4 linked regions of the Astyanax mexicanus genome follow. The protein of the gene in region 2 interacts with the protein of the main gene of each other region in a pairwise test. Links are inferred from orthologs where the notes say so. Each region holds a gene or a part of one and is shown on either strand. Other genes may lie near its edges. The genes, in order: uncharacterized protein LOC103039245, type-1 angiotensin II receptor-associated protein, ap3m1 and tbrg4.

The links.
Region 1: the proteins of type-1 angiotensin II receptor-associated protein (region 2) and uncharacterized protein LOC103039245 interact in binary tests that used the Homo sapiens proteins (3 or more experiments, as listed by UniProt). The two-hybrid records come from large-scale screens. The link is inferred for Astyanax mexicanus from reciprocal best matches to the Homo sapiens genes AGTRAP and PIMREG.
Region 3: the proteins of type-1 angiotensin II receptor-associated protein (region 2) and ap3m1 interact in binary tests that used the Homo sapiens proteins (3 or more experiments, as listed by UniProt). The two-hybrid records come from large-scale screens. The link is inferred for Astyanax mexicanus from reciprocal best matches to the Homo sapiens genes AGTRAP and AP3M1.
Region 4: the proteins of type-1 angiotensin II receptor-associated protein (region 2) and tbrg4 interact in binary tests that used the Homo sapiens proteins (3 or more experiments, as listed by UniProt). The two-hybrid records come from large-scale screens. The link is inferred for Astyanax mexicanus from reciprocal best matches to the Homo sapiens genes AGTRAP and TBRG4.

The regions. Positions count from the first base shown.
Region 1 is NC_064424.1:13,215,576-13,222,469, forward strand, and holds the start of uncharacterized protein LOC103039245, read right to left. Parts: upstream 3,009-6,894; 5' UTR 2,904-3,008; intron 1,458-2,903; 5' UTR 1,426-1,457; coding exon 1,138-1,425; intron 1-1,137. Other genes in the region: tmigd1 (transmembrane and immunoglobulin domain-containing protein 1), read right to left, coding at 4,421-4,510, 4,729-4,832, 5,770-6,054. UniProt on the Homo sapiens protein: During mitosis, may play a role in the control of metaphase-to-anaphase transition.
Region 2 is NC_064431.1:8,274,777-8,282,545, reverse strand, and holds the start of type-1 angiotensin II receptor-associated protein, read right to left. Parts: upstream 3,006-7,769; 5' UTR 2,895-3,005; coding exon 2,868-2,894; intron 1,993-2,867; coding exon 1,958-1,992; intron 1-1,957. UniProt on the Homo sapiens protein: Appears to be a negative regulator of type-1 angiotensin II receptor-mediated signaling by regulating receptor internalization as well as mechanism of receptor desensitization such as phosphorylation.
Region 3 is NC_064414.1:37,935,579-37,943,153, forward strand, and holds the start of ap3m1 (AP-3 complex subunit mu-1), read right to left. Parts: upstream 3,025-7,575; 5' UTR 2,888-3,024; intron 1,632-2,887; 5' UTR 1,624-1,631; coding exon 1,351-1,623; intron 1,146-1,350; coding exon 974-1,145; intron 844-973; coding exon 706-843; intron 544-705; coding exon 458-543; intron 1-457. Other genes in the region: adka (adenosine kinase), read left to right, coding at 4,349-4,410. UniProt on the Homo sapiens protein: Part of the AP-3 complex, an adaptor-related complex which is not clathrin-associated. The complex is associated with the Golgi region as well as more peripheral structures.
Region 4 is NC_064408.1:110,806,497-110,813,761, reverse strand, and holds the start of tbrg4 (FAST kinase domain-containing protein 4), read left to right. Parts: upstream 1-4,257; 5' UTR 4,258-4,393; intron 4,394-6,246; 5' UTR 6,247-6,316; coding exon 6,317-6,724; intron 6,725-7,265. Other genes in the region: uncharacterized protein si:dkey-12j5.1, read right to left, coding at 979-1,088, 2,282-2,339. UniProt on the Homo sapiens protein: Plays a role in processing of mitochondrial RNA precursors and in stabilization of a subset of mature mitochondrial RNA species, such as MT-CO1, MT-CO2, MT-CYB, MT-CO3, MT-ND3, MT-ND5 and MT-ATP8/6. May play a role in cell cycle progression.

The sequences.
Region 1 (6,894 bases), on a different chromosome or scaffold from region 2:
TCCAAACGATAGTCAACACATAAATGTTACTTATGACTAATTTCTTAAACTTACATTTGATGTAGTTACTATACTAAAAACACATACCAATGTAAAATGTTAATTGGATATTTAGGGTTGGTATTGGGACAAGTAGGGGTTTAACATGGGCCTCATCTGGGTTGTACACTACACATGGATCCTACACGTAATAAACCTAAAACACATGATGTGAAAAAAACATCTCGGAACCCAGCTCGCCCTGAAACGTACCTAGCCCAGGTTCCACCCAAATGAGTCCCATATGAGTGTATTAGCGGAGTCTTGGGACACTTTTGGAAAACTGGGCCCAACATTTTATAGTAAAAATCACAACTAAACTAAAACTAAAAATATGTCAGCATTGTTGTTTTTGTATTGTTTTTGTAGCCAGGTTCCCTAACTTTATCCTTTTTTTTTGTTTTAAACTTTCTAGGACATGTGGAAATCCTGGAAACACTACATTGCTGCATGTTTCACAAATGTTGTATTGACCATATGTTCACATTAAAAACACTGAACATACACATATATTCCTAGGGTGGGGTAATATGACAATATTTTATCATATTGTAGTGAATTTGTTATAGTAAATGTTATGCTTTTTCTGAGCATATTGTGGATATCACCAGTACTTAAAGAACATAGGTTTAATTTAATTTGTGGTGTATAACTGGATGACAGGACATTTGGTAGAAGAAAAATAAATAAAATAAAAACCATGTTTAAAGAATCTGTCACTACTAGTGCATTTTGCAAATACTGTTAAATTAAAAATGCCCTAAATATTGTGATGCATTTTTCCACTCACCCAAATTTATTGATATAAATGCATAAAGTGAAATCCCATTTCTTTTTAACTGTGCGTGCTTAAACTTCAAGTTGTGGCTACACATTAGGATCTCATTCCCTCACCTAATAACTTGTTGTCACATATGAACTTGATTTTCTGCAGGATGCAACCTTAGGGTTTCTAAATCTAGCAAAACCAACACTAAGCACTAATACGGCCAAGAGAGTTGAGCTCTTTGAATAGATAATAGTTACTTGGTGTAGTGGAACACTGCCAACCCAGGTAAAACAGAGGGCTAAAAGGCAGTTGTTTAAATGGAAGAGTACCTGATAAGCGCTGCCAATGGAGTTCTTGGCGGAGCGTTTGATCTGAGTCACAGCACTGGTCTTCTTGTTCATCTCGAGGGTCTCCCAGGTGGGATTCTCAGGGACATTGGTGTTGGTCTGGACGGTCTTAAGGGGCAGCCTCTTTCGCAGGGACATCCTGAGAGAGTTGAGGGAGCTGGAGGAGCGGAGCTTGCGGAGGTTCTGCTGAGGAGCTTCAGGAGAGCTGTTCGGCTCCGAGTCCGCCAGGACACTATGAGCCCGCCAAAGACCACTTACCACAGCCGCCATACTGAGAGTCTAACAAAGGGAAGGAGGGGAACCTGGGAAAGGAGGGGACCCAGAAAGAGGAACGTTTGTACATGGGTAAACATTTTAATGTCATATGGGTTAGACATAAGTGTTATAGCTATTAGCTAACTAAAATTCGATAATGTTCTTTAACAAGTTAGTTAATTAGCAGTGCTGGCTAAAACATCTGAGGGGTAAGAAAATAGCTAGCTACATATATAACCTAGCAAACTTACTAACCTAAACTTGCTAGCTAGCTAGCTGACCTATCTAGTGTTAGCTAGTTAAACACTTTAGGCAATTTAATTTTGTTATCATCATTGTGATATCTGTATGTAAATATTTGCAACACAAGAAGGCTATTTTAACCCATTAATTCAAAAAATTTGCAGTGCAGTATACCCTTATGCCTGGGAACACCTTATTTGCTGGTAAAATGTAGCTATGTTAACTAACTACATAGAGCCTTGGATTTGTACATTCCTTTTTGTATGTAGGGTATGCAGGGAATTTGTAATAATAATTTCAAAAAAATCACTTTGTTTAAATAATCTGCCACTTCTAATGCATTTTGCAAATACTATTTACATATTGACCATTTATAAATCAGAGCCTGTAAAGTGACATTGGTCAGTCTAACATTTAGCAGTTTAATTTTCCGACTGTTAATTTTCCGAAATTAGAAAATTGGTCACAAAAACTATTTTTTATAATGTAGTTTGTGTAGATTTTTTCAGTTTACAAGTTGGATTATAACATTAGATGTGTTAAAAGACACATAAAATTAAAAAAAAATTGAAGTTTTAATTTTTCTTGGAACTCTGTTTACAAAAGGCTAAAATAAGAAAACTAAATAATGGAAAAATTGAATAAAAAACATAACTTTACTAAATGTAGGTATGTATGTAATTATGTGTTTTATAGCCAATTTAATTGTTTTAAATTTAGCTTAATACAATCAAAAACTTAAACTGCAAAATTTTACTCAAACAAAGATATCAGGAAAGAGTGCACACTATCAGGAAGACTAACGTTAGGTATTCAGAACACTGGTAAAAGAAAATAATGGCTAAATTAGCTTACCTAGCTAATGAAGATTTTGATCTTACCATTATCTCAATGTTTTATTATTTACTCACAAAAATCAATACAATGGTTCTGTATTACACTAGCTAGCTAGCTAACCTTCGTGTGTAATCCTGTGTAGAGTGAAATCAGATAAGTTAGCTAAGTTAGCTAGGTTAGCTTACTAACAAGATTGATACGCATTACACCGGGACCTGTGCTAACTTAGCTAGGTTAGCTGGCATAGAAAAAAAAAACCTAAGTTAGCTAAGGTTAGTAAGATACCCCAGCCTGGATTTGAACGTTATATACTGATCCTCAGCCTTAACCTGTTTCCCTGACAAACATCTTCCTATAAAAGACTCACTGCAGATAAAAACCCAGCTAAAAAAGGATAAAGACCGATATCTTACCGTTGTGTGTTTCTGCAGGGTTTTAGCACCGGACCGACCGCAGCCCTTTCTCTCCGTGTTTCACTGTTTGAATTTGGCGGACCGCCCTTAAACAATATGCAGGAGCACCACAAGCCCCGCCTCCTGATCCTTGTATTGGCCAATTTACCCAACACTCTCTTCAACGATTGGTATATTTCACCTCATATGTCCCTCCCTCCACTTCTGATTGGTCTATTATTCCGTCATGCTGCGATTAAAACCAGACAACAAGCCAAATAGGCCGAATAAAGGTGATGCTCCAATGCTCTGCATTGTTGCATTCATCCCAACAGGCGCTGTATTGTTATGCTAAACGGACTGTTTCCTTTTTTATTCACACAGCCAGTAACTTTGTAACTGCTGAAATTAACAGCTGCAACTAAAATACAAAGAAAATGCACACAATATGAGTAGTAGTACTTGAAAAAACATTAATTCAGTTTTTAAAAAACAAAAAAAATGTGGTGTTTATGAAACAATGTAGTTTTTTTCTCTTTGTATTGAGAAATGCCCCACTAAAAATGCATTTCTAAAACAATACACAAACTTTTTCACCATTTAATAAATAACACTGTTAGATTTAAAATGAACAATTAATATATGTGGTGTTACTAATAGATAGAACTAACAAGTTTTTGAGTATGTTGCTAGCTAACATGTAATATAGAGTATAATAATATATCCATGAGTTTTTTAAATGAGGTATGCATTATTATCCTACAGAGCAATGCAAAATAGTAGTCGAGCTACTCATACCTAGAACAGTTATTCACAATGGTTGATAATACTGCAAGTACAGCAGCAATGGTGGCTGGCGAACAAAACACCACACAAAACATTTGTGTTTTAACAGCAACTTTTAAGGTTTTATTCACTTTGGAGCATTTCTATTAGTCCATACTTCATTTAATTTTGGCATAATGTAAAGTACAACTGCCAGATTCAAAGGATGTCAAAGTGAATTACATAAAAAATGGAGATACAAGATTTTTTTTTTTTTGCCAGACAGTGATTTACAGACATTTACAGTACACATTCAAATTTACAGTGACCCCTTCCTTTAGTTCGTATTGAGGAAAACCTTTCACCTGGCCTTGAGAATTCGTAATTGTTAGAATTTTAATAGGTTTATATTGCCATGACATTGAGATACCAGGCTGTAAACGTGCCAGGTGTGGCAGCGTCTCCTTTTTACTCAGCAGCAGTCAATGTATAACACCTTTTTAACGAGCCTCAGGGAGCAATTGCACAATGTAATTAGCATTTAGATCTGCATTTTACAAGTGTAAAGAAAGGTCTCTACAAAACTTTATGGTTTACTTTATTCAAATACTTCTATCAAATGACAAGTTCCAAAAATGCAGGACTTGATGCAGACAGTAATGGTGTGTTTTTAAATTAATTTTATTTACATGTGTAGAGTTTCATATGAGAAGTTTTGTTTGGAGATTGTTGTTATGCAGTAGCATTCCAGTAGGGCAGGCCTGTGGTTCAGTTCAGCAACAGTACTTTGAATCCCAAAGGTGATGGTCACTAATGGTGGATTCTTTTAAAGCACTGTGGAGGGAAAAGAGACACGTTTTGTTCTGTGAGAGAATGGTAGAATCAGAGAGAAACATATTAAACAGGGCAAATTGGTGTTTTGAATAATGTTTTTTTTTTTTGTAATTTGTAATGTGTTTTGATCATTAAATGCTGCTTCTTACACTGCATCCATTAACTGCATTAATCAATAAAATATGAAATCGGCTCCAGGGTGCCAACACATTTGTACAACACTAGATTTGAGGCCGAAATGTGTTACCTTCATAACCCTCTGCCATCTGGAAATGACAGCTAGCAGCATTGTAAGGAGCACGACCACAATGCCAGCAATTGTGGGCCACAGGGGGAACTTCATTACTTTATCTGTTAGGAGAAACAAGCCAGTATATTGTACTCAGTGAATCTTCAAACTTGCTGCATTTTTTTAAGTCTCCAAAGTTCAATATATATATTAAGCATAAGAATATTTTAGTAGTCTCTACTTTTGAGTTCTCTTGGAATATTTCAGTTGCATTGCATTTGTACACCCCTTGTTTAATACATTGCACTTAAAAAAATAAGCGCCAGAACATTTTTTTTTTAGCAGTGTGTATTTATTCATATTTACTTGTCGTTTTAAATTACATTTGACAGTGAAATATTATCACAATTTAAGTATTTTAGATTAGTATATATTTGTAATTTGCAATTAGTATTCTAAAAGCTTAGTATTCTAAAATCTAAAAGCTTTCAAAATGCATACATTTCACTTATACAGAATTTTGTTATGAAGTCATATTTCTATTCTTGTCATCTTAATATAACAAAGTGCCAAGGGAAAAAGGAAAGTACTAAAAAAATAATGGGCAAAACCTTTTTTTATTCTTTAAGTAAATCGTCTATTGCTTCATTGCTTGCTTAACTTAATCTTGTAATTTGTTTGCTTTGGAGAAATAAAAATGGATAAACTTGTGTTTTTATGAAAACGCAACCACAGTGAGGTTATCCATACAAAGACGTTTGAAAATTAAATTGAATTGCATTGAATTTAATCAAACTTAAAATTAGTACCTATATCTCATGCTTAAACTATTAAAACTGGCCATACAAGGAAACCTCTATATAAAAACAGGAATATGACGTTACCAGTAATTAAACCTACCTATAAAATCAGTGGAGGACACTGGGACATAAAAAAAACACTATAAACTGCGGAGAAATTGGCACACTCTGGTAGCGCTATCATTCCTAGACAGCCTGCTGAGAGAGGGTGAATAGGCAGTTTTGGAAATTATGAGGATTACTTTAAGGACACACGAACCTCCAACGATGAGGATGAAGGTTTTGCTCTTTAGTCCGTAGGTGGGTGAAGTTGCCTCACAGCTGTACTGGCCCTGGTGTGAACTGCGCTTGATGTTGTAGATGGACAGCTTGGCGGTGACGCCATCATTGCTGGTGTGGTAGGTACTGGTGGAAAGATCTAGCACAGCATCATCTTTCTTCCAGATTACAGCTACTGGAGGAAAGGCCTGAACATTACAGGACAGAACAGCATCACTTTCCTCTTCAACATGCATTTCCTCACTGCCGTTCAGATCTGGGGGATCTGAAAGAAAGAGATTTCACAAATAATAGATTTGTCAATGATTAATAAGCATTAGAACAAACTTGTTCAAATAAAAAAGTGTATTTACTAACAGCAGGAGACAGTGGGATACAACCTAACATATGGTTTCTGCTACTACTTGAGCACAGATGGGGTTAACTGTAATGGGGGAGGTGGGGGGGGGGTCATTTTAACAGCTGTCTAACATTCAGTATAATCTGCGTTGTTTATAGTAGAGCTTTCCAAACTGAAAATACAGAAAGGTTTACCAGATTTCTCCAGAAATCAATAACCCAACATGTAATAATGATAATAATGCACTCTGTGTATCAAAGACTAGAATAAAATAAAGGATTTTGGGCAGATATATTCTATATTTGGTACGTATGTCATTATAAATGAGGACAGTGGGGTTTTTCTTTGTATCAATTAAGTTATAGAATGAATGCATAGTTAAATTACAAATACTTTGAAATAACAATGTTAAAACAGTAGTTTAACATGTAGTTTTTGTCTTATTGATTAATTACTGTTTACCCAAAACCTTGTTTTACTGCTATTCATGCAGCGTGGATATTGTGCTTGAATTTAATTTTACAGTAATTTAACTAATAGGTGTTACCTAAACAAACAACTTAATAATAGTAATTATTTTCATATGAATGTAGTTTTTTGTTATATTTAACATGTATGATAACAGAAACAACAGAAATGTATTCACATCTATCAAGTAGTCCAGTGTCAGAATACTGAAGAGTACAGGCCGGTGAACAGAGGATAAGAAACTCATATTGTTCTCCATTTACAGATACAACAGGTACATAAGTAAATTGTTGTGCT
Region 2 (7,769 bases):
ATAATGGCATTTGGAAGTCCCTTGTATCACTACTAGGGGTGACTGACTGTCGTCTGCAATGCAATCCAATCTAGATCATCACAGTAGTTTATCAGCAGTTGGGGTGGTGTATCACTCCACAGCAAAGGTGGGACTGTGCATTTGAGTGCATTGTACAGGCATGTCTATTAATCAGTGATCTCTCACCAAAAGGTATACTGCCCAAAAGTAACCTCTGAAAGCCTTTTTAAAAGGTCAGTGGGAGACACTCTTACATCCTCTTGTGGCTTAAGAGGCCCAGTTTCTAATTAGATCACACCTCTAAGCATTTACATGTGATAAATAATTGAATATCAAGTTTTGCAGGAATTCAGAGTCTGTTAATAAGGAGCTAAATTCATGTCTGAATGCTTTTAAACTAAGAGGTATTTCAGTCATGCGGAAATAATGCTCACTGGCGGATCTGAGACGCATTTGCTCAGAATCTTGGTGTGTGTTTTTGACTTTATCAGTTGTAGCTCTTCATCAGCAGTCAGCAGTTTCTAATATGCACTGTCCTTTGGATACTTTTGGCTGGAGAGCTACACTCAGTTAGTTTGATATGCACAATGAATCTATTCACCCCAGTCATTGGGAATCATCAGAGTTTAATGCCTCTAATAGGGGTGTATCAATCCAACCCAGTAGATCTGGATCAGAGAGTATCAAGAAATGTTTATTTTTTTGGGTTTTAAATGAAAAAAAAATGCTATTTATATGCTAATTATCAAGCAATATACAGTACCAGCCAAAAGTTTGGACACACCATAAATTCAGTAGTTTTTCATCATTTAAATTGTTAGATTCTTTAAAGTAGCATCTCTCGCTTAGATGACATTTTCGCACATCCTGGCTTGATTTTCTTAGTCAGATTCATGAGGTAGAGTCACCTGGAATTCAGGCATTCAGTTAACAGCTGTGCTGAACTCACCAAGCCTTAATTACTTGAATTTTAAGTTCTGAAGAGGTAGAGTTGGTATACAGTGAATAGGCATATTTGAGTAATGTTCTACTCGAAGGCAATAACTACTCAACTAAGTAAAAAATATATACTTTAAGAAATAAAGGTCAGTCATTCCAAAACATTCCACTTATTAGGACCACCCCAGGAAAGGAAGTGTAAGAGTTACCTCTGTTGTAAGTCCATCAAAATTACCAGCCTCTGAAACCGCAAGTTAACAGCACCCCAGATAAAAGCACTTATTTATTTATGTTGATATAATTCCCGTATTGATATATACAGTATAAAAGCCTGCATCCATGGTGTAAGTAACACAATAAACAATATTTATCACAAAAGTTTGACACTCACAAAATGCATCAACAGCGGCAGATTCTTAAAAAAACAGAATTCAACTATTTTATGCACAGCACAGTGATAGTTGCTGCACATTTACCAATTAAACAGGATTTTGAACACTCTCTATAATGAAATGTACAGTTGGGTCATAGTAATTTAAACACTAATTATATGCTCTACATGCTTAAAAAGATCTGACAAGTAAATTTATCATGATACATTTAAATAGTCATGTTGCTTAGCTTCACTTAGTTGTATAAAGTGTTTGAAAAAAACATTCCCAACACAATAAATGTTATATTACTTGTATACATATTTATTTGGAAGATTTCACTTTTCAGCACAAAATTAAAAATTGGTAAAAAAAAATTCTGTATTTTTTTTATATTGCATTGCAATGTAGTTGTTTCTCCCTGCTTTATTCACCTTGCGGCTCTATTTGTATTGCCTCATTTGATTAAAATCAGTGGGATTGACTATTTAGACAAGATCAGCCGTGAGGAAAGTGAAAGCCTTTTTCAATCCAGACATTTATCCCAAATAAAGCCCTGAAAATCCCAACCTCTCACAAACAGACGGAGCAGCTGGGGAAATTCCTCAGGTACGTGAGGAAAAACACCAAGGAGCCACTTTACTCACCAGATAGTCAGCAACCAGTGGACCAGCACGATGGCCTACAACACACACACACACACACACACACACACATGTATAATAAACACATTATATTATAAAATATACAGTACAATGGTAACCTACATATTAATAATAAACACACTATATTATAACACATACAGTGGAATGGTTAACCTATTCTATTGTGGTGAAATATAACAGTAATAAAATATTTTGAGTAAATCAAAACAGATCAAGCTTACAAAGAAAAATTCTACAACTTGCAAATCTAGGTCAATCAAGTTTCCATCAACATTTAATTTGTTAAAAATGTCTGGTCTGTTACTGTCCACTACAGCTTGCCAGGAAGGACAAAGGCATAAAATAATAAGTTATATTAATTTTAAAAAATACTTTCATTGAAAGTTAAACGTATAATAAAATACACTAATATGTGTTTTACAATATACTGTAAACAAGTAATGCAATAGCATCGTAAACCTAACGCTTTAACCTACTCACAATATCCAAAACCTTTAATTCACTTTTTCATATCTTTTCATTGTGAAGATATTTGGTGCTTTCAGAAATAGCAATACAAGCAAACACTGATTCACACTCACACACACACACACACACACACACACACACACACACACACACACACACACACACACACACAAATTCACTAATCCAGTTCAAAGACGTTCACGTGCAACCATAAAGCCTGTTACACATCTAGAACATCATAAAATAACACATTCTGCCTGTATAACATGATTAAATCAGATAAAACACAGCAGATAAAAGGATGGAGATAATGGTTCTAATAGAAACACCTGATGAGCAGAATCTGCTGATAGAATTAATAAACTAATAAAAGCTGACTCTTTAATGCTTCAGCCAGCAAATCTAAACACAGGCTAATGTTTACCTTGAGGTTTATGGCCGGGATTTCCATATTGTGAGCTGTGATTGTCCTCAGCACTTCAGATTGAGACTGGGGGAAAAGTTAGTGAAGTCCAGCACTGTGCTGCTGCTGCTGCTGCACTGCCGGACTCAGCCATGTGACTGCAGCATGACTCCACCACGTGACCCTGATTCCTTCCTAAATAAACGCCAGAGAGCACTGAGGTCTTATACAGCATCTCACAGCCTGCCTAATAACACATTCCACTGATCAAATCAGATAATATCTATCTATCTATCTATCTATCTATCTATCTATCTATCTATCTATCTATCTATCTATCTATCTATCTATCTGTCTGTCTGTCTGTCTGTCTGTCTGTCTGTCTGTCTGTCTGTCTGTCTGTCTGTCTGTCTATCTATCTATCTATCTATCTATCTATCTATCTATCTATTAGGGGTGGGCAATATTATATTGTATACAATTTATCGTAACACAGAAATATCATGATATTAAAAATCCATATCGTGATAATAGAGATGTTCTGTCTTAAAAGTAGTCCATTATTTACTGTGAAGATTTAGGTGTATGTATTATATAATTGTTTTAGTTTAGTTTAGTTTTTGTTTTCAGTTTATATGCATGAAAATATTCTGCAATATTTTTTGCTGCATTATATTATTTTAGGCTATATTATTTATTTTGCCACATTATGATTATACTGTTATACTATTATACTATATTCCTGAAGTTAATGAATTATTTTTTCTGTTTTCCTATATTGCCAAGTATATCGTTATCGAAAAAATACCCTGAAATATCGTACTGTTATTTTAGAGCCATATCGCCCACCCCTACTATCTATCTATCTGAGCGCAATGAAGTCTGTAAATAAAATAATATCTATAATAGAGTCTCTGTTATCCTTACCCATATTATCTGGGCGAGCATATTTCCCTACTTTGTGTCTGTTTCAATTTTATTGCTTTAAAAGTCTTATTCCATAATTTTTAAATTAACTTTAAAATGTCTAGTTGTGGTCTCTAGTATGAATGAATGCCATGTGTGCTGGTTTTTGTGCTCTGGTGATTCGGCATAACTGTGCTTTAGTCCCGTGGAGGAGTGGAGTGGGAGAAACGAGGATTTCTGCTTTTGCTCATTAATATTCATACATGCAAACATATCGTCTCTGATTGGCTAACAGCACTATGACTGCAGCGAGATGGACAACAGATAGAAACATTTTAAAATAAAGACATTTTTACACTAATGACAGTATTTGCAATGTCATATGTTACTTTACAACATGTGTAATGCCCTGCTAAGTCAAGTAAGCCACTGACTTAGACTCATAGTCTCTGTAAAACACAAAATCCACCAGAGATCATATGTAAACACATGGAGGTGGGTAATCCAGGTCCAGAAAGAAAAAAAATCAGCTGAGTTGCAGCAGAGCCGCCCAGGCATTCAGAACAAACTCCTGGGTGCACTTTTTACTTTTAACTAGTGTAAACACACACCTACCTATCTCAGTTGTACTGTGCTGGTGGTATTCTACAGACAAATTCTAACTGTTTGAATAACCTCTGAATTACTGGGGAAAAGCATATAACACTAATATATTATTTACACAAATAATACAGGAACAAACTGCTATGCTGTTTCTAGTCCTGTTAGCTCCATGATGGGCAAGGCCATGAATATTAATTCACAGATTAAGGTAGAGACTGTGCTTTTACTGCTCGACTCGTTTTTCTGAACATTTACTAGCTACTGCAGGCAATGGTTGAGGAACAGTTTCATGTGCAGCATCAATATACAACTCAGAGAGACCTACTGTATTTCACAAAGAACAAGAAAAAGTGGATTTTAGCGGAAAGGGACCTTTAAATTCTTAAAAGATTATATTAAATGTATGTTTGTCTCTACTACTTTCACTGCATGGCCCACAGTAACTATACTTTAAATGTGGTATTTTGGTGACGTTACACGCAATAAACACACGTGCCTGTCAACCACCGATGAAGAGCTCAAGGTACATTAATCTAGATTCAATGTGCCAGTTCGTTTTTGGTGCAATTACCCATTCTCAACAGAGAGGGCCCTCAATCCCAAAATTTATGGACATCAGCTGTAATAAGTGATTGTATATGCTCTACTGTTATGTGAGTGCTGGGATGCATTATTATTTCAACACAATGTATTACACAATTCAATAAATTAATGAATTCATGAAAAGCTTGTGTGCTAGTGTGCTCTGTGGGTGTGGTACTGTCACAGTACCACAGTATTCAGTAAAGATGGCGTCACAAAATCAGTTCAATCCATCAGTGTGTAGTCTTGTCCACTGGGGCTACGCTGAGTAGTCAGCTTTATTATATATTTATTTATTATATATGTTTTGAAACTTTGTGATGTAATGAAAGCTGATTTGAATTTATTTGTTTTGATACAGACTTCAAAGCAGTATATCGAAACACTGTGTTTTTCAAATAAATTGATTTAGTTCAAATCTGAGTTTAACATTACTGGTTGTAGGGCATAAAAGCAAGTTACCGTTTTCTTTACTGCAAAGTGTTATTGATTTTGACTGGCAGAAGGGAAGCAGGGTGATTCTATCTTATACTAAAAGACAAAAAACACAAGCTAAACTCCCTGGAATAAAAGTTAGTAATTAACTGACTGACTAAATAGAAATAACTATTAGCTGAGTACTAAAGGAAAGGCAGCCTTGGTTGACAAGACTACACACTGATAGTGAGTAAGGAGTGGAGGATATGACTATTATGCAAATAAATAATGCAAGAAACCAACAAGGGCCATTACATTTACTTTCATATTTTTAAGTAATTCTGAAACCAATACTTAGACACTCTTACTGGATTAAAAAGCTTGAGTTGACACTTCAACTTCTACAGAAGTATTTTAAACTCTAATATCTATACTCTCTTATCTATACTTATACCTGGGTCATTAATTTCAATACCTATGATAGCTTTGGTCTTCCCCACCTCATTCCAAAAGTATTGGGTGGAGTTCCAGAGAACACAGTTCGACCGCTCCACAGCTCAATACCTCGCATTATATAACACTTCTCTACAGGGACTGGAAAAGCTAGATAGATCAATATATCTATCCACCTTGTTCTTCTTAACATTCTTTCCCTTCAGTTACAGTGATTCATTTTCTTCATTTGTGCATTCTGCTGGTGCACTGAGAGTAAATCTGGGTTTAAATACCTGTGTGGAGTCCCTGAGGCGGGTGAGTTTCAGCCTGTATGTCTGCGCTCAGCTTTATTGGTGGGGAGTCTGTATTTGTGCTTAAATCCCTGGTTATGAGTCTACTGAATTACATTATATCGTGACATTTTATATTCCATCATGGGATCCCCGGAACAGAAATGAGTTGTCCTGTGTGAAATATCAACCATGACAATTCAATTTCTTTCATGTATTGTATTTGGGCCGTGTTATTAAAAAGGTTTGAGCACACAGGAGAGAAAAGGTCTACACAGACTTATCAAAGCGAAAGCAAATCAAGACAAATTTTCATGATCTACTGTCATCTAAACATTAAAATCAGGCAACATTTAAATCATTGATTTGATAAAGCCCCCTGAAGCACAAAATCCCAGAGCCAGGAGACCATCTACCAGCCTACATTTATAAAAAACTCAATTATGAGTGTGATAGACGGATGCGGGTGTGTTGAATTAGCCAGCTGCGCTGTGTATTGTGTGTGTGGCGACAGCTCGTTAGCTGTAAGTCAGTTATGAGCTGTGATTGGATGAATTAGACGAGAGTTGAGACAGAAGGCCGGTTTTGGGGGGTGCTCTCACACCCTGTGGGGATGGACGTCTTTGTTGTGTGCCACGCGTCTGGCAGATGGGACCTGCCTACTCACTCGTGTTCGGTGGCAGGTGTGACCTTTGACCTCCATCTCTGTCTCCCTTGGCTAAACAGTGTTATTGTGTTTAGCAAAAAATCTAATCTACCATTTGTTTCTATTTTGCGCAAATATATTAAATCAGACAATGTTTGGGGTCTGACATTAGTTGAGCTCTGAACCATGTAGTATTCTTCCCTATACTACCCTATTTTTTTTATAATTCACTATAATCCGTTATACTGCCCTGTACTCTGTATACTACCCTATACTTTCTATTCTTCCCTTTACTCTTTTTACTACCCTACACTCACTCTATTATCTTACTCTGTTACTCTCATGTAATCTATATGCTACCCTATACTCAATATTCTTAATACTCACTGTTCTATATTATCCCATACTTACCTGCACTACCTATACTACACTATACTCTCCAAAACGTCCATATACTACTCTCTACTCACCATAATATAAACCCCATACTACCCTGAACTCCATGTACTATCCTGCACTTCCCTATACTCCCATTTTCTACCCTTTATTACCCTACACTCCCTATACTACCTTATATTATGTAAAACATCCCTATACTACACTCTACTCCCCATTCTCATTATATACCTTATACTATCTATACTAACCTTTCCTTTCCATACTACCATACACTCACTCTAGTATCTTTTACTCTCATGTACTCCCCTATACTTAATATAATACTACTTATTTATCTACATTACACCATACTACCCTACATTCCCTATCCTTCCTTATACCATCTAAAATTTCCATATGCTATGCCCTACTACTCCCCATACTCACTATAATTCCTTTTACTACGTTCTACTCCCTACACTCACCTATACTGCACTTTTCATTTACACTAGCCTATAGAACCTTATACTATCCAATACTACCCTATACTACCTTTTCCTGCCCATTCTATCATACAGTCCATATCATACACTCTGATCCCTATACTCCCCTATAATACAGTAATCCTTTACATAAGCCTGTACAATATACTTCCCTATAGCACCC
Region 3 (7,575 bases), on a different chromosome or scaffold from region 2:
AACAGTATTAAAACAGTATAAAAATGTGGAAGATAAAGAACATAAATGGCAAATCACAGCTGAAATGTTGGAAATGATGAAGAGTTCTTTACAGATATACACACATTTTATATAGTGTTTGTGTGATTAAGGTGTATTCCATTCTCTTCATGTCCACAAAAAAAATGCCAACTATATCAATAAATAGTTTATCTCTGTAACAATCACTTGTGCAGAGGAAAAAAATTAAAGAGAAAAAAAGATTGGAAATGTTTGAGAGCTATGGAGTTTCTACCCCTGTTCACAGAGTACAGAATGAAGAAATCACAGTGGATACAGAGGCGGGAAAATGTCACTAAATCTAAACACAACCATGCTCACTAATAAGTGGTAATATACAGCAGAATTAGATAAAAGTACAGACATAACATAAATCATATAAGCCTCTCTATGTGTGTATTTATCTACTTGCACTCACCATAAATGATAGTGTGAGATCAGGCATTCCTGAGAGTTTTACACAAGCATCAATCACACCCTGGATTTCTGCAAACACTGTTGTGCCTGAAAACGATGAATGTTCCAAATAAACACTGTGAACTCTTATGAAATGGGATGTCGAAAAAAAGAAGTGAACAATGAAGATCCTTCAACCAAGCTGATCACACACTTCTCTACAAATAATAAATATCATGTGTAAGAAAAACAAGAACAGGTAAGGTTTACCAGACTTATCCAGGATAGCGTCAATCTCTTCCACCACATCAAAATACGCCTCATTGTTAGTGTATTTTACATCTGCTCTCCTCCACGGGATAGTGGACAGCTGTCCAGTAGGAAGAGTGGCCCCAAGATTACTGCTGCCTGGAAAGATCACAGAGGAGTTGAAATATGCAAAACAGCATACGGTACTTTTATTCTTACAAATTGTCAGGCAAGCGACAGAAATGTGAATGCATTTTTGTTATTAAATGTTGTTATAGGAGTCCTCTACCTGTGATAGTGTTGACCATGGAGCGCAGAATTGTGGGAGGTTTAATCATCTCTTTCAGGATGTTGGATTCCGTGGCCAGGGGGAAGCCATTGTCAAGCATTTCTTCAAGTAGTTCATATACTATTACCAGATTGTCCTTAATGGTAACTTCAGAGCATTCCCCAAAATAGTCCTAGTTAAATATAAAAGGTAAAATAAACTGTACATTAGCACCCTACTGTAGAGAATAATTTAGTACTACAAAAATACATTAGTTTAAAAGCTAAAAGGCCAGTTTTCCAGTCCCAGAAAAGATCTGACTTTAAACAGACCCAAAAAAACACTAAAACGTAACTTTTTAAAAAGAGCTAATTTATATGCTAATATAAGAAGAATACCTGAAACATCTCAGCAACTCGATGAAGAAATTCAATGACGAAGAGGGGAGGAACTTCAGTCTGGATGACAGAAACAAAGAAGATTTTCTCCCGGTAGATATTGATTAGGTAGTGATGAGGTGTGCGGATGACAGGAGGTACATTGTCAGGTTCCCCTGCTTTCTCCTGAGCTTCAAAAAAGTAATCGCAGACCGAACGACTTATGACACTCTTCCAGTGTTTTTCCAGGAATATGTCACCAGAGTTGTTTATCAGAAACAAGCTGTGAATCATGTTGAGAGCTGTGAAAAGAAACATAGTGCTGTTTAGATGGATGAAGTGATAAAACCAACTGCAGACTTTAAATTTCGTGCATGTGTCAGAATGCCAACCACAGTAACCACAGTGCTGATACAAGAGCTACTACAAACATGGAGATATCCGATCTGCAAACTGAGTCTTCACCTGCTCATACACACAGTTTTAAGCAAAAAAAAAAAAAACAGAACCAGAACTGAAGAAAGCTGAAAGCTAATCAACAGCAACACAATGCATCTTTTAAACGCATGCGTACTTTTTAGCATGCTCTCTGCAATAAACATTTATATTTACATTTATGGCATTTAGCTGATGCTCTTATCCAGAGAGACTTACACGGTTATTCCTATTACGAGGTGGGCCACTGAGGTGTTAGGAGTCTTGCCCAAGGACTCTTACTGGTGTATCACATTATAGTCACCCAGACCTGGAATTGAACCCCAGTCTCCCACATGGTAGCTCACTGGCAGGCGGTGGTGTTATCCACTGCACCACACCAACCAGTTAGTGACTTAACTGTCACTTTATTACATTCAAAATATTCAAATAAAGTGCAGTTCATTGACAATAATGTCAAGAAACTATATAACCTCCATTTTTTTGTTTAAATGGGCCAAAGTATAAATTCTTTACTGTTAACAGTTTAATGATTTTTTTTTTCGGTTTCACAAACGTAAGAAATATACTTAATTGAACAAGCTTGTGGGTAACTTGGTTGTCAGTTTGCTCTAAAATTTCAGAAACAAACGTAGCTAGCCAGCTTTTAGCTATCTGACACCTAGGTGTTATCCATCTGAAGATCTCTAGATGCTGCAGAATGTGGAATGTGGGCTTCACAGTAACTGAGCTTGCCAGCTAACGAGCTAAGCTAACTTACACAGCTAAGAGTTAGCTAGCTAGCTGTAAACTACTATGTTCCCACTGTCACAGAGAACTTATATCTGTTTAATGGATTTTTTGTTATAAGAGGCTGTCAACACTTTAACTAGCTTGTTAGCTAACGTTAACATTAGCTATAAAACAGACTTAGCCATTTAGCTACCTACACCACTCCAGAGCAAGTGTAGCTAACCAAGCTAGCCAGTAAAAAGTTTAGCGTCTGTTTATTTTGGTGCCTGATTTTAGACATATTTCTCAGCCTCTGGTTCGCTAAATATGACACTACCTAGACAGAACACAGGATATACTGTTAACCAACGCTTTGCACTTGTAAAATACATTTACAAAACAGTAAAAATACCTTTTAGAGAACTGTCTTGATGCTGAGTAAGTTTTCCAGCTGAGAAAAGTCCTCGGTAGCAACCCGGCAGAAAAGTCTCTACAACAGAGAGAGTTCCCACTTCAGAACCTCTTCCGCGTTAGTCAGAGAAAAGAGGGCGCTCTAGAGTGAGTCCAAAATGAATGGGTTCCTATGGAGCATTTGATCAAAATCAGAGTTCATACATTTTTGATAATTTTAAAAATGAAAATACTAAATTCTTTAACATTTTGCTACAGAAGACATCTTTTTTTTTAAAGCTTTTCAACTTAACAAAGGCACCGAGTGGTTCAGCAAGATATGTGCTGCCACTATGATCGGGAGCGATTTGAGTCCTGCTCATGTAGCTTGCCATCGGCTACTGGAGCCCTGAGTGAGCACATTTGGGTTGGGTAATTGGCCGTGTAAATTGGGGAGAAAATCAGGGTAGAAAATTAGAAATAAAATATTTTTAAAAATTAGTACTTATCATGCTAGTACTTATCAGTTAAAACTGTAGCTTGCTAAAAAATAAATGTTTGAACAGAATATAAATTGAATATAAATTGCCTCTGCATGTTTTTAATAATGATTGTGTTGCATTACTTGTATTGTGTTTGTTGGATGCTTGTCTCTTATTCTGTAGTGTTTAAATGTTTGTTTTAATCTAAGATATGTTTTTTTTTTATTTTAGTTTGCCTTATTTAAGAACTGGTCACAGACTACAGATGAAACTCTGCCTCGTGTACATAGTTTATTCTATCTTGTCTAATGAGCACTGTCCCTGCAAATTAAACAAGTTATAAACTGTTTAAACTCCGTGCTCTGTCTGTATCTTCAGCATCATCTCTCAACCTGTCAACTCTAAGCTCACAGTAGCAGTAACGCTAGCGCCTTTACTGCCTAAAAAACGTATGCTGTAGAACATTTGAAATACATAGGCATATTTTATTTGCTTTCAGAGCAAAATACCATTTTGTTCTTCCTAAAACTAAAATAATTTCCAGGACATGTAGTTTGTTAATATTTTTTATTTGAGTTTTTAGCTTTTAGCTCCATTCACCCCAATTAATTGAGGACTCGCTCGCGGGCTCCGTCTAGCGGTTCGCAGCAATTTTCTAACTAGCCCTTAACTTACCAACGTTAGCTTCTGACACCTTCTGTAGAAAATAATGCAAACAAATGTCAAAAAGTGGATTTTAAAACAGATGAAGCAAAACTTTAGGTATGTTTTGTAACAAATAAACTATATTTTGTCAATGGCGTTAAACACTTACGCAATACTTTTTTCCTCAGCTGTTTCTGGTCCGGCAGCAGAAAAGGGCAGCTCTAAACCGGGCTGCAGTGTTTTTTTTTTTTTTTTATCTCCTCCGGCGGTATCTCTATCTCTCATTCCCGCTTGATCCAGCAAGGTGAGGTGTCAGGGACGCGCGCGCAAATCAGTGGACGCACAGGTAAAGCACCATGGCCACAGGAGAGCCCAAAGCAAAGAAAATCAAACTCGAGGAAAAGACTGATCTGATCAGGTGAGCTGAGCACAGGCGTTGGACTGTGCTGTGCGATGGGTATGGGTGTTGTAAGAAGAAGCTCCTCAAGTTAGGGAGTGAGTTTTACTGCAGCGTGGTCTGCACTGTGTGCACTTTAAGCTCGGGTTAAATGACACATGACAATTACGTTACACATAGCTGGGATATCTGGATTTAATCCTGATTAAATTATGTAATTTAGGTAAATCCCTCATTGCCATTGTGCTCTGCTACTGAGATCTCTCTGTGTTCCTCTGCTGTGCAGCTGCTGCAGTTCTGTTTTGCAACAAATTTTTGTTTGAGAAACAATCGCAACCATTTAGCATTGATTAGCTAACTACCAAGTTAAGTTTATTTATGCCATGAGGTTCATGCTGGGGTCTTGTTTGCTGGCCGTGGGAAATGTTAGTAAGTTTAGCTAGCTAAGTTACTGGGTAGCGAGCGTTACAAGCTAAAAACAAAGTCAAAAATAAGTTTTAAAAAAGTATAAAGTAGTAATAGAGGATTGTTTTGTTATATTTTAGACAATGTAGATACAATAAAGTTGACTAACTAAGAAGTTAAGCTAGCTAACCTACTTGCTAAATTGGGGGTTTGGCGGATGCACGCGCTCACACGTGCACATGTGGTCTTTGGGTATGCTCGCTGTTCAGTCCAGAGGTGGGAGCCGGTGGAATTCCCGCCCCACGTGGCTTTTGTTATGTAGTTAGCTACGTTAGCTAACTAGCTACAGCTCTTGAAAAAAAATTAGGAGACCACTTCAGTTTCTGAATCAGTTTCTCTGATATATGTTTGAGTGAAATAAATATTGTTTTTATTCTATAAACTACGGACACCATTTCTTCCAAATTCCAATTAAAAATATTGTCATTTCTAGCATTTATTTGCAGAAAATAAGAGAAATGGCTGAAATAACAAAAAATATGCAGAGTTTTCAGACCTCAAATAATGCAAAAAAAAGTTCATATTTATACATTTTTAAGAGTTCCAAAATCAATGTTTGGTGGAATATTTTAATCACAATTTTTATGCATCTTGGCATGTTCTCCTCCACCAGTCTTACACACTGCTTTTTTTGTCGAACTTTACGCCACTCCTGGTGCAACAATACAAGCAGTTCAGCTTGGTTTGATGGCTTGTGATCATCCAGCTTCCTCCTGATTATATTCCAGAGGTTTTCAATTTGGTAAAATCAAAGAAAATCATAATTTGTAAGTGGTCTCTCATACAGAGCTGTATCTTAGGTAGCTTAGCTAACAGCTCAGAGAAGTCCTCTGACCACTTTGCCTTCAGTTTCAGGCCAGGGGGCTCTAACACACACATAAAGAAAGAAAGAAATAAAGAGATAGAGAGGCAGCTCCAAACGAAAGTGGGATAAGGGTTCATAAGGCCAGTGTCACAAAATAAATTCTGTGTGAGAGGTGACACGCTTACAAGCTGCTTTGGCAGCCAGTCCCCTAACCAGACAGCATGTAGCTAGCTCTCTATAGAGCTGCAGTCATTTCAGCCACAGACAGTTAAGTTAGGAAACTATATACATAGGATTGCTTACCTATAAACTATAGATAATAGTTTGTGTAACTCTCCTCTCATTCAATTAATTAAATTTGATTATTTTCGTTATACCAGTATAGGAATGTAGAGTTATATAGTACTATATAGTGGGTGTAAAATAAAAATACTGGAGAAACACAAAGACAAGGTGTTGTTAAGTTTGGATTCAATGGTATGGTTACAAACATTGTATATATTGTTATATATACAATGTTTGTAATTATTATTCTTTACTTTACATTAAGTATGTAGTTAAATCTTGATGAACTGAACTAAACTGAGCTTAAAAAGGACTGTAGACAAGGTATTGTTAGGTTAATTCAACTTGTAATCAAATCTATGGTGTATATATGCATTGTTTGACCGACTAATTATTTTTTAGTTACATGACATATTTATATTATCTTGTTTAAATTTTATTTATAAAGCTTCTAACGTGTTTTTGTGGTGTAGAAAGCAATGTTTAAAAATATTATTATTATTATTATTATTATTATTATTATTATTATTATTATTATTTAAAGGAAGCACGTCACCTAAATCTATTAATGAACATAGATTTAATGTTATAATTTTACGCTAACTAATGTCTATTACTTAGTATAAATAATAAAGTCTTAGTATAAATAATAAAATAAAGGTTGTTTTTCCATCATAACCATGAAAAGGTCTAAAGCAAACAAAAAATTAATGTTCATCCAATGTCCTTTGCGGTTAGTGCTAAATAAGTATTAAGTAACTTGCGTGTTTCAAATGGTTCATTGTGGTTAATTAAGTGTAGGTTATTTTAGATGTAAGCATCATTGTAAATGAAGCAGCTAACTTCGTTCCACCAGCGTGTAAAAACACTGCTAATAAGCCTAAATCTGTTTCTTGTGCACACACTGACAGCAGCAGCACTGACAGCAGCAGCACGAGACTTGGCTTATTATTATTTTTTTTTCCTGGCCCAAAATGCAGCCCCCTGTCAGAGCACTGCCTCTTTTTTTCTTCTCCCCCAATCATCTGCTCCCCTCCCTTAGTCCCTTAGCCAATCAGCTGAAAGCAGGAGAGAAACTCCTGACTTTGAGCGCTGTTGATACAGTGCACTGCTGCTGGCTAAATCTGCTCTATATTTAAAACTCCTCTGGATCTCAGTTAAGAGTCTCCAGCATCATCTCCAGCTAGAAGCATGGCCAGGTAAGGGTAGCTTTTTGCATTGGGAGAACCTTGTGGGTGATGATCTAATGAGATGTAGACTCTTTTTCTTTTATTTCTTGTTACTGAAATGTTTATGATTATGTTGATGATCACTGATAGTAGGATAATTTATGGTGAGATTCTGAGAATCCTGAATATGCCATGTATATTCTTGATACAATTTTACAACAAATACTGTATCTGTAATTATTTTGATTGTAAGGTTTTTGTGCATTTTGTCTGTTTTAGCATTTCAGCAGGAGATGACCATGCTTGTTCTTTTTCACCTCCATATCATATCCATACTGAACATCTGTTTCAGAAGCTGCCTTACCTCTGAAACTCCCACGTAGATACATCTGCTCTAATTCAAAAGTTTCCCAGGAGTCTGCTTTTCTCTTTTAGCCTTAATTGTACATGCTTTTATTTTAT
Region 4 (7,265 bases), on a different chromosome or scaffold from region 2:
ACTTTTCTTACTGTTTTTAGCAAAAGAAAAATTCATACAGTTTTAATTTATATACCATTATATATCTACTTATTATATCAGATTATATCTGTCCAGTATAATTTATTTTACTTTAATCCTGGATATATGAAGATATATGGAGTGCATTATTAGTATCATGAAATTCTGAATCATTGACTTCTGTTACAAATCTGATAAAATTCTTGTATTTTTTAATATCTTAGTTAGGGATGTGCCGTATCATATCGTTGCAGTAGCGCATTCTCAAAAAATATATATATATTTTTTTATTCAGTGTTTTGTCATATCGCCAAGATGAAATTATTTTAGGGCCATATCGTCCACCCCTAATCAATAATATGTAAAAATGGCATTTATTGGTGTAGTATTCAAAGTACAGTAGCACGTGGTTTGGGATGCAGAATTTATATAACCAGGATATTACCCATTTTTCCACTAAACTGAATTAATCACATATCATGGCCTGCACCAAACAACTTTAAGGTAGACTATATTCTTGGTTTCACTTAGTGACACTGAGAGAGCAGGGGTGTAGGAATGAAATCACACTGAATTGTGAACCTGGTTACATAAATCCAGCTGTAATGTTGACAAATGTATTGCTATTATTAGGGAGCTTTCCCTGCCACCTTCTCCCCTTGTGAACAGTGATTAGGTGTTTAGACCTCCACTTCTGGGAAAACTGGAAACAACACCTCTACAAAGTTTATAGTTAATCAGTTCAGTTAAGTCAGTTCTTTCAATCTGATCAGCATTCCTGCATTACTTTGAGTGAAGCCGTGTTGTACGGCAGATGCTATACTAAGTTGGCCTCTGTCTTGGTGGTAAAGTATACAGTCAGTCAATAAATGGTTTGTCCACTGTGGCATCTAGTGTCTGTGACCTGGACCCATCTATTTTATACTATGTGGCTAAAGTACTATAGAATTAAATAATACCTGAAATTAAGATGCATACCTTCTCCAGTAACTGGTCAACAGTGTACTTCTCAGCAGTTTTCTTCTTGGCTTTCTCCTGCATCTTGGCCTTCATCCTCTCCTGGGGTGACATTAGTGTGTGACCTGAAGCTGAAACAAAAATGAAACCTTTCAGACCTAATCATATAAATAATTAAAAAACACCTCAGTAACCAAAATGTTCAGCCAATCAAACACTGCTAAAACAACTCAGCACAATCAGCTCAAGCGGGTCAAGGTGGACAAAAGGTTCAGCTATTAACCAGCATAGGCCATGCCTTTATTTGAGTTGGGTTTGATCAGAAGGACTATAATGAACCAAGTTGGATGATCAAAATGACCTAGCTAGCTGATTAACATAAACCAAGCTGGTTGATCAACATAAACCAAGCTGGTTAATCAGCAAGGACAACATGACCAAACTGGTTGACCAACATGACCAAGCCTAACATGACCAAGCCCAACATGACCAAGCAGGTTGACCAACATGACAAAGCTTGTTGACCAGCATGACCAAAACAACCAAGCCCAACATAAACAACTTGACCAAGCAGGTTGACCAACATGACCAAGCTTGTTGACCAGCATGACCAAAACAACCAAGCCCAACACGACCAAGCTTAATTTTACCAATATGACCAACTTGACCAGGCTTAATATGACCAAACCCAATATGACCAACTTGACCAGGCTTAATATGAACAATATGACAAAACCCGATATGACTAAATTGACCAAGCTCAATATGACCAAACCCAATATAAACAACTTGACCAAGCTCAACATTACCAAGCCCAACATGACCAACTTGACCAAGCTTAATATGACCAATATGACCAAACCCAATAAAAACAACATAATCAACCTCAATATAACCAATATGACCAAACCCAATATGACAAACATGACCAAGATGATTGATCATGACCAGCATAAGCTACATGACCAAACTGGCTGAACAACATGACCAAGCTGGTTGGGCAGTATGATCAACATGACCCCTCTATGCTGGCAAATAACTGTTATTAGGGTGCACAACAGCACAGGGTATGATTTCACCTAGATGAACAGCTTTTTAACCAACACAGAAGAGCTTAGACCATCCAAGACCAACAATTAAGTGACACAAGAAACTTTGCCCAAAGCAACAGAACTATATGGAAGAAGTGTTTTTTTTTTCTGCAGCTGTAAGCTGTGTGAATATTTATAATGTAGGCTATATTAAAGCAGTGTAATCTCAGTAGCTGAGCTGTATCTGAGTGCAGGTGTGTTTATCAATCAGTCAGTATCAGACAGTAACTTACCTCCTCCACGGTTCTCTTTCCTCTTAGCCTTGCTCTTCTTTTTAGCTTGTCCCCCCATTCTAATACTGTAGCTCCACTGGACTGGAGTGGATAATCACCCGGGTATATATCTGTGTCAGGTTTATTCCTGCTTGTCTAAGAGAGAGAGTTGTTGTGACTGAAGAGTGTGAGTGTGGATGTAAGCAAGCATGGGCAACAGCCCCTTCTTCTTCTTCTGCTTCTCCCTCACGAGCCACGCGTGCTGCTCCCCCTACAGGTTGGAGCTCTACAAAAGATCCTTTTCTATTACATAAATTAACATGAAGATAAATTAATAAAGAAAGTAATAAAGTGTGTGTTGGAGGTGTTGCCTGGGGTCTGAAGATGATCAAACAGAACAGAACTAGCTAAAAGACAAAGTAGACACCAGCTTTTATAGTCATTATAATATCTGCATTACAACAGACTAAACACCAGGTGGAGCCATTAAAAACTCATGTTAAAATGCATATAAGGCAAAAAATACTATGTTATTCCAATCGTTGATGCACAGTATCATGAGATAAATAAATAATTGATTTGCAGCAAAATATGATATTATTATTATTTTTTTTCTCAAATTGCAATTTATATTGCAGAGCAATTAATATCAGACTATAACACAGGGGTTCTCAACTGGTCTTGTCCCGGGAGCCTCATTTTCTCATGGTCATTAGGTCAAACCGCACTTTTATTGAATACAAACCAAACAAATGTATGCATGCAAACTGAATTTAAGAGCAATATTTAAGAAACATGAGGAGGAACATGAAAACTACATGTCTAAAAGTTACTACAATAAAATTTGGTAAATCAATTATTTTTTTCCATAGCCCCATATCAGGGAAATTTACTGGGAGCAGTGCTATTCGTACAGTAAGCAGTGCTGGTTATAATATTATAATATTAATAGTACAAAGTGTTATCAATTATGTCATGCTGCACCAAATATAATATGTACACACAACCTTACACAAAAATAATTCGATTTTATACGACAAATACAACGTTTTTTTACTTTCTTATTATTTGGTACCTAACTTTGGTAACTAATTTTTAATGATATTATTTCTTAAAGAATGAAAGAGCACAGCTGACATATTTAAACAATATAATAAATTTATTTTATTTATTTTTTGCATTCAGAAATTCAGAAAGATAATTTGTCGTCAAAATAAAAATCTCTAATTTTGTAATGTTTTTAATTTTATTTTATTGTCTGTTTAAAATCCATTTTAATACAGGATTTTAATATTTTTGTTTGTTTTTTTTTGTTTGTTTGTTTTTCGTTTTTGTTTTTTGCCGTTCTCTGTTGCTGTTTTTTTAAAGGTGGTTGTTTATTAAAACTTCAATAAAAAAATTGAAAAGATATTAAATCATTAAGCATAAACGCTTAACTTGTCGTCAAAATTAAAGTCTCTCATTTCTTAATGTTTTATTATTCTGTTTAAAAGAAAATCTATTTGTTTTGTGCAGTGAATAATAAATAATGTCCGTTTAAAATCTATTTCATTACAGGCTTTTACTATCTTTTTTGTTTGTTTTTTATACAAGTTTATAATGTTTTTTTTTTAATACAAGCTAATAATATTTTTTTGTTTTTAATACAGGTTTATAATATTTTTTGCTGTTCTTTGTTGCTGTTTCTGTTTTTATTTAAGATTGTTCTTTCTATTATAGATTCAATATTTTTTTAGTTAACGCTTTAATTAACGTCAACGCTTAACTTGGCGTCAAAATAAAAGTCTCTAATTTCGTAATGTTTTTTATTTTATTTTGTTTAAAATAAAAAAGATATTTGTTTTGTGTAGTCAATAGTTGTATCGTGTCTGTACACAATCTATTTTTTAAAACACGTATATAATATTTGTTGTAAAAGGTATTTAAATCCTATACATATAGATTTATGCCTATTACAAAACGTGTCGCAGAAGTAGTGACGTCTCACTAACCTTTACACTGCATCATGTGTGACGTGAATACTCGCGCGACCCTTGCGGGCTGCTCCATGTGAAAGTCGCCGGGATGTGCGTGAATGTGAGAGTGTGTTTGAGTTCTGGGATAATCTGTGTATAAACTCGTGGATCTGAAGAGGTAAGGCGGTGGTCTGTATTAAAATGTTGTGCGCGGGTTAGCAGTAGGGTGTTTGAGGAGGCTGGCTGTGTTATGTAGTGAGCAGTGAAGTCTGTGTGGCGCCTCCATAGCCGGCAAGGTCAGTGCCTGCTGAATGAAACATATTAAGATTTTACTTTAATCTTCTATTAAAGGTGAGCTTATTACAGAACAATGCCTTTAGCTAAGTGTTATCTAACGGCTTTCTTATGGAAAATCATAAAACCCTTTAAAGCTTGCTGAACTAGCTTGCCTAATTGTCTAATTTACTGATGCCCTAAATTTTAAAACATGTACCACCCACACTCAAACTAAAATCACCCACATGAACATATGCAAGAAAACTAGGGGTGACCAATTTGGCAAAAAATCAAATAAAAGCATGTTATTGAATATCCTGATGTCAATGTGAGATACTAACTTACATTATTGCTACAGATTGCAAAATAAATGCTGCCAAATTACTTTCATTTTGAAGTTCATGACCTTTGGAGAAAATGTTTTGTGAATGTTAATGTTTTTATCCGACAGTAATATGTCATTGTCTCAGATGAAGCAAGTTGTATTTCTAAAACTACAGAGATATAAACGGTATATTAATTAAGTTTCAAGAGTTCAGAAATCAATATTTTGTGGATTAACCCTGGTTTTTAATCACAGGTTTTTATGCATTTTGGCATGTTCTCTTCCACCAGTCTTACACACTGCTTTTGGATAACTTTAAAGCTAACTCTGGGTGCAAAAATTCAAGCAGTTCAGTTTGGTTTAATGGCTTATGATCATCCATCTTTCTCTTGATTATGTTCCAGAGAAACTCAGCAATTTTAAGTGGTCTCCAGGGCTGCATATTGCTATATGAAAAATACAGGATTTAACATAATATTTTGCTGGAGATCAGATATTCAACATGGGTAGAAACCATCTGTAATCTGGTTGTATGTCGTTGTCCTGAGCTGTGACTACTGCGCTCGTGTACACTGTGAAGAGAATGCTGAAACATTGTGTTGTGCTGTCTTACTATAAAATGATATATATAGTTTGGCCGATTCTTTTTAATAATTGTATTTATACTAAATCTATAAGGATATTATTCTGTATGTCCATTTCGAAACGGTCTTAATCTTTTTTGTTTTTTTTTGTCTGTTTATTTACATATTTATTTTTGTTTTCTATTTTTTAGTATTGAATTAGTTGTGTTTTATGTTCAAACAAAGAAAAGCAAACTAAATAAAATGTACAAAAAAAAAATAAAGATATAATGTGAACGGGACTCGGGGTGTAGTAAAACATAATTAACGTGAGTAAAAACTTTGGTCGAGTAACCCATCTCCGTTCACCTCCAGCACTGCAAAATACAGCGCTTTTAGCCGATTCTCCCAACAGGCTTACAATGTTAGTGATAGGGGGTATAGCTTGGGTAAGAGCTGTAGCTAATGTATCGCAGGGCTCTAGAGCAGGCTTGGTGACATATTGGTGATGTTTGCTATATAATCCAGGCCTAGTGCTAATATTGTCACAGTAGTTAGTTATGCTAAGAATTAGGAAATTAATGATGGTTAAAGATTATGATAAAATGTGTATAAGTAGCAATAAGTCCATCTGAGCTCTAATGTAGTTAGTAATGTGCAATGTGCAGAGTGGGTGAATAGTCTGAGGCATGTAGCTGGTCTGAGTTGGGTAGCAGAAAAAAGAGAGGCTGAAAGACTGGGAAACATACACTCCACACTATTAGCAAACCAGTTTTATTTGTTGCTTCATGTACCTAAAACCTGTTAAGCACTCTAATCAATGCTCTCTCTCTCTTTCTCTCTTTCTCTCTTTCTTTCTCATCTTAGGATTTTAATGAACGTGTGGATGCAGGTTGGTGAGTTGTGAATACGCTGTCAAGTTCAAAAGCCCCCCGAAATGACGGCCAGGCTTCTGAGCCGATGGGCTCTCCTGTTGTCCAGATGTCCCCAACCTTCTGCATCTACTGCCCACCTGAAAGCACTTGCTGCCCTGCCTGTGGAGCCACTGTGGTCCCAGGCCTGGATTCAGACCCCTGTCAGACCTTTTTACATGAGCAGAGAAAATGCCCAGGAAGAGAAAACAAAAACCACTTCCCAACAAACAAACTTCCATCTTCGTATTGATAAGGCTGCCACTCCAAAGGAAGTGCTGAATCTCTGGAAAAATCTGGGCGGCTCGACCAATCAGGCAGCCACGTGTCTGGTCCAGATTTACAAACTGTCTTTAGGGACAGGAGTGAAAAGTGACAGCAGTATTTTGAATGACCCTCGGTTTGCAGAAATGCTGAAGGCTGTGCATTCTCAGGTAATAATGTGTGTACGTCTGCTTTACGGGATTTCCAGACATTTATAACCCCCAGCTTGTAATTACATATCTTTCTCTTGCCTGCTTAGAGACCCATGTGGACAGTTTGTGGGTCATGGGTCATCTGTTCTGGACCTCAAGAGCTAATCAGTACATACAGTTTGGTTGCTCTCCTGCTCCGTTTGTAAGATGCAAAAAAAATTATTTGAAAGTTCTCCGTTCCTGACATCTGAAGAGTTCTGGGCCTTTAAAAGCTGTCATGCATATAGTAGTAGGGCTTGGTATTGTATTAATACAGATACCAAAACATTACCTTTTTTAATATTGTAACAAAAAAAAATAATAAGAAGAAAGTGTTAATTATTTATATTCAGCGTATTTATTTAACAGGCCAACATGAGTTATCTCATTCTCATACTGTAATCATGAGATTTTGTTGGAACAAACAGACAATTTGCATCTTGGTGGCACTTTACAAAAAAGCAACATTACTTGTGCTTAAACAATAGATTTTTTTTTCCTAAGCGTATTGCGGAATGCA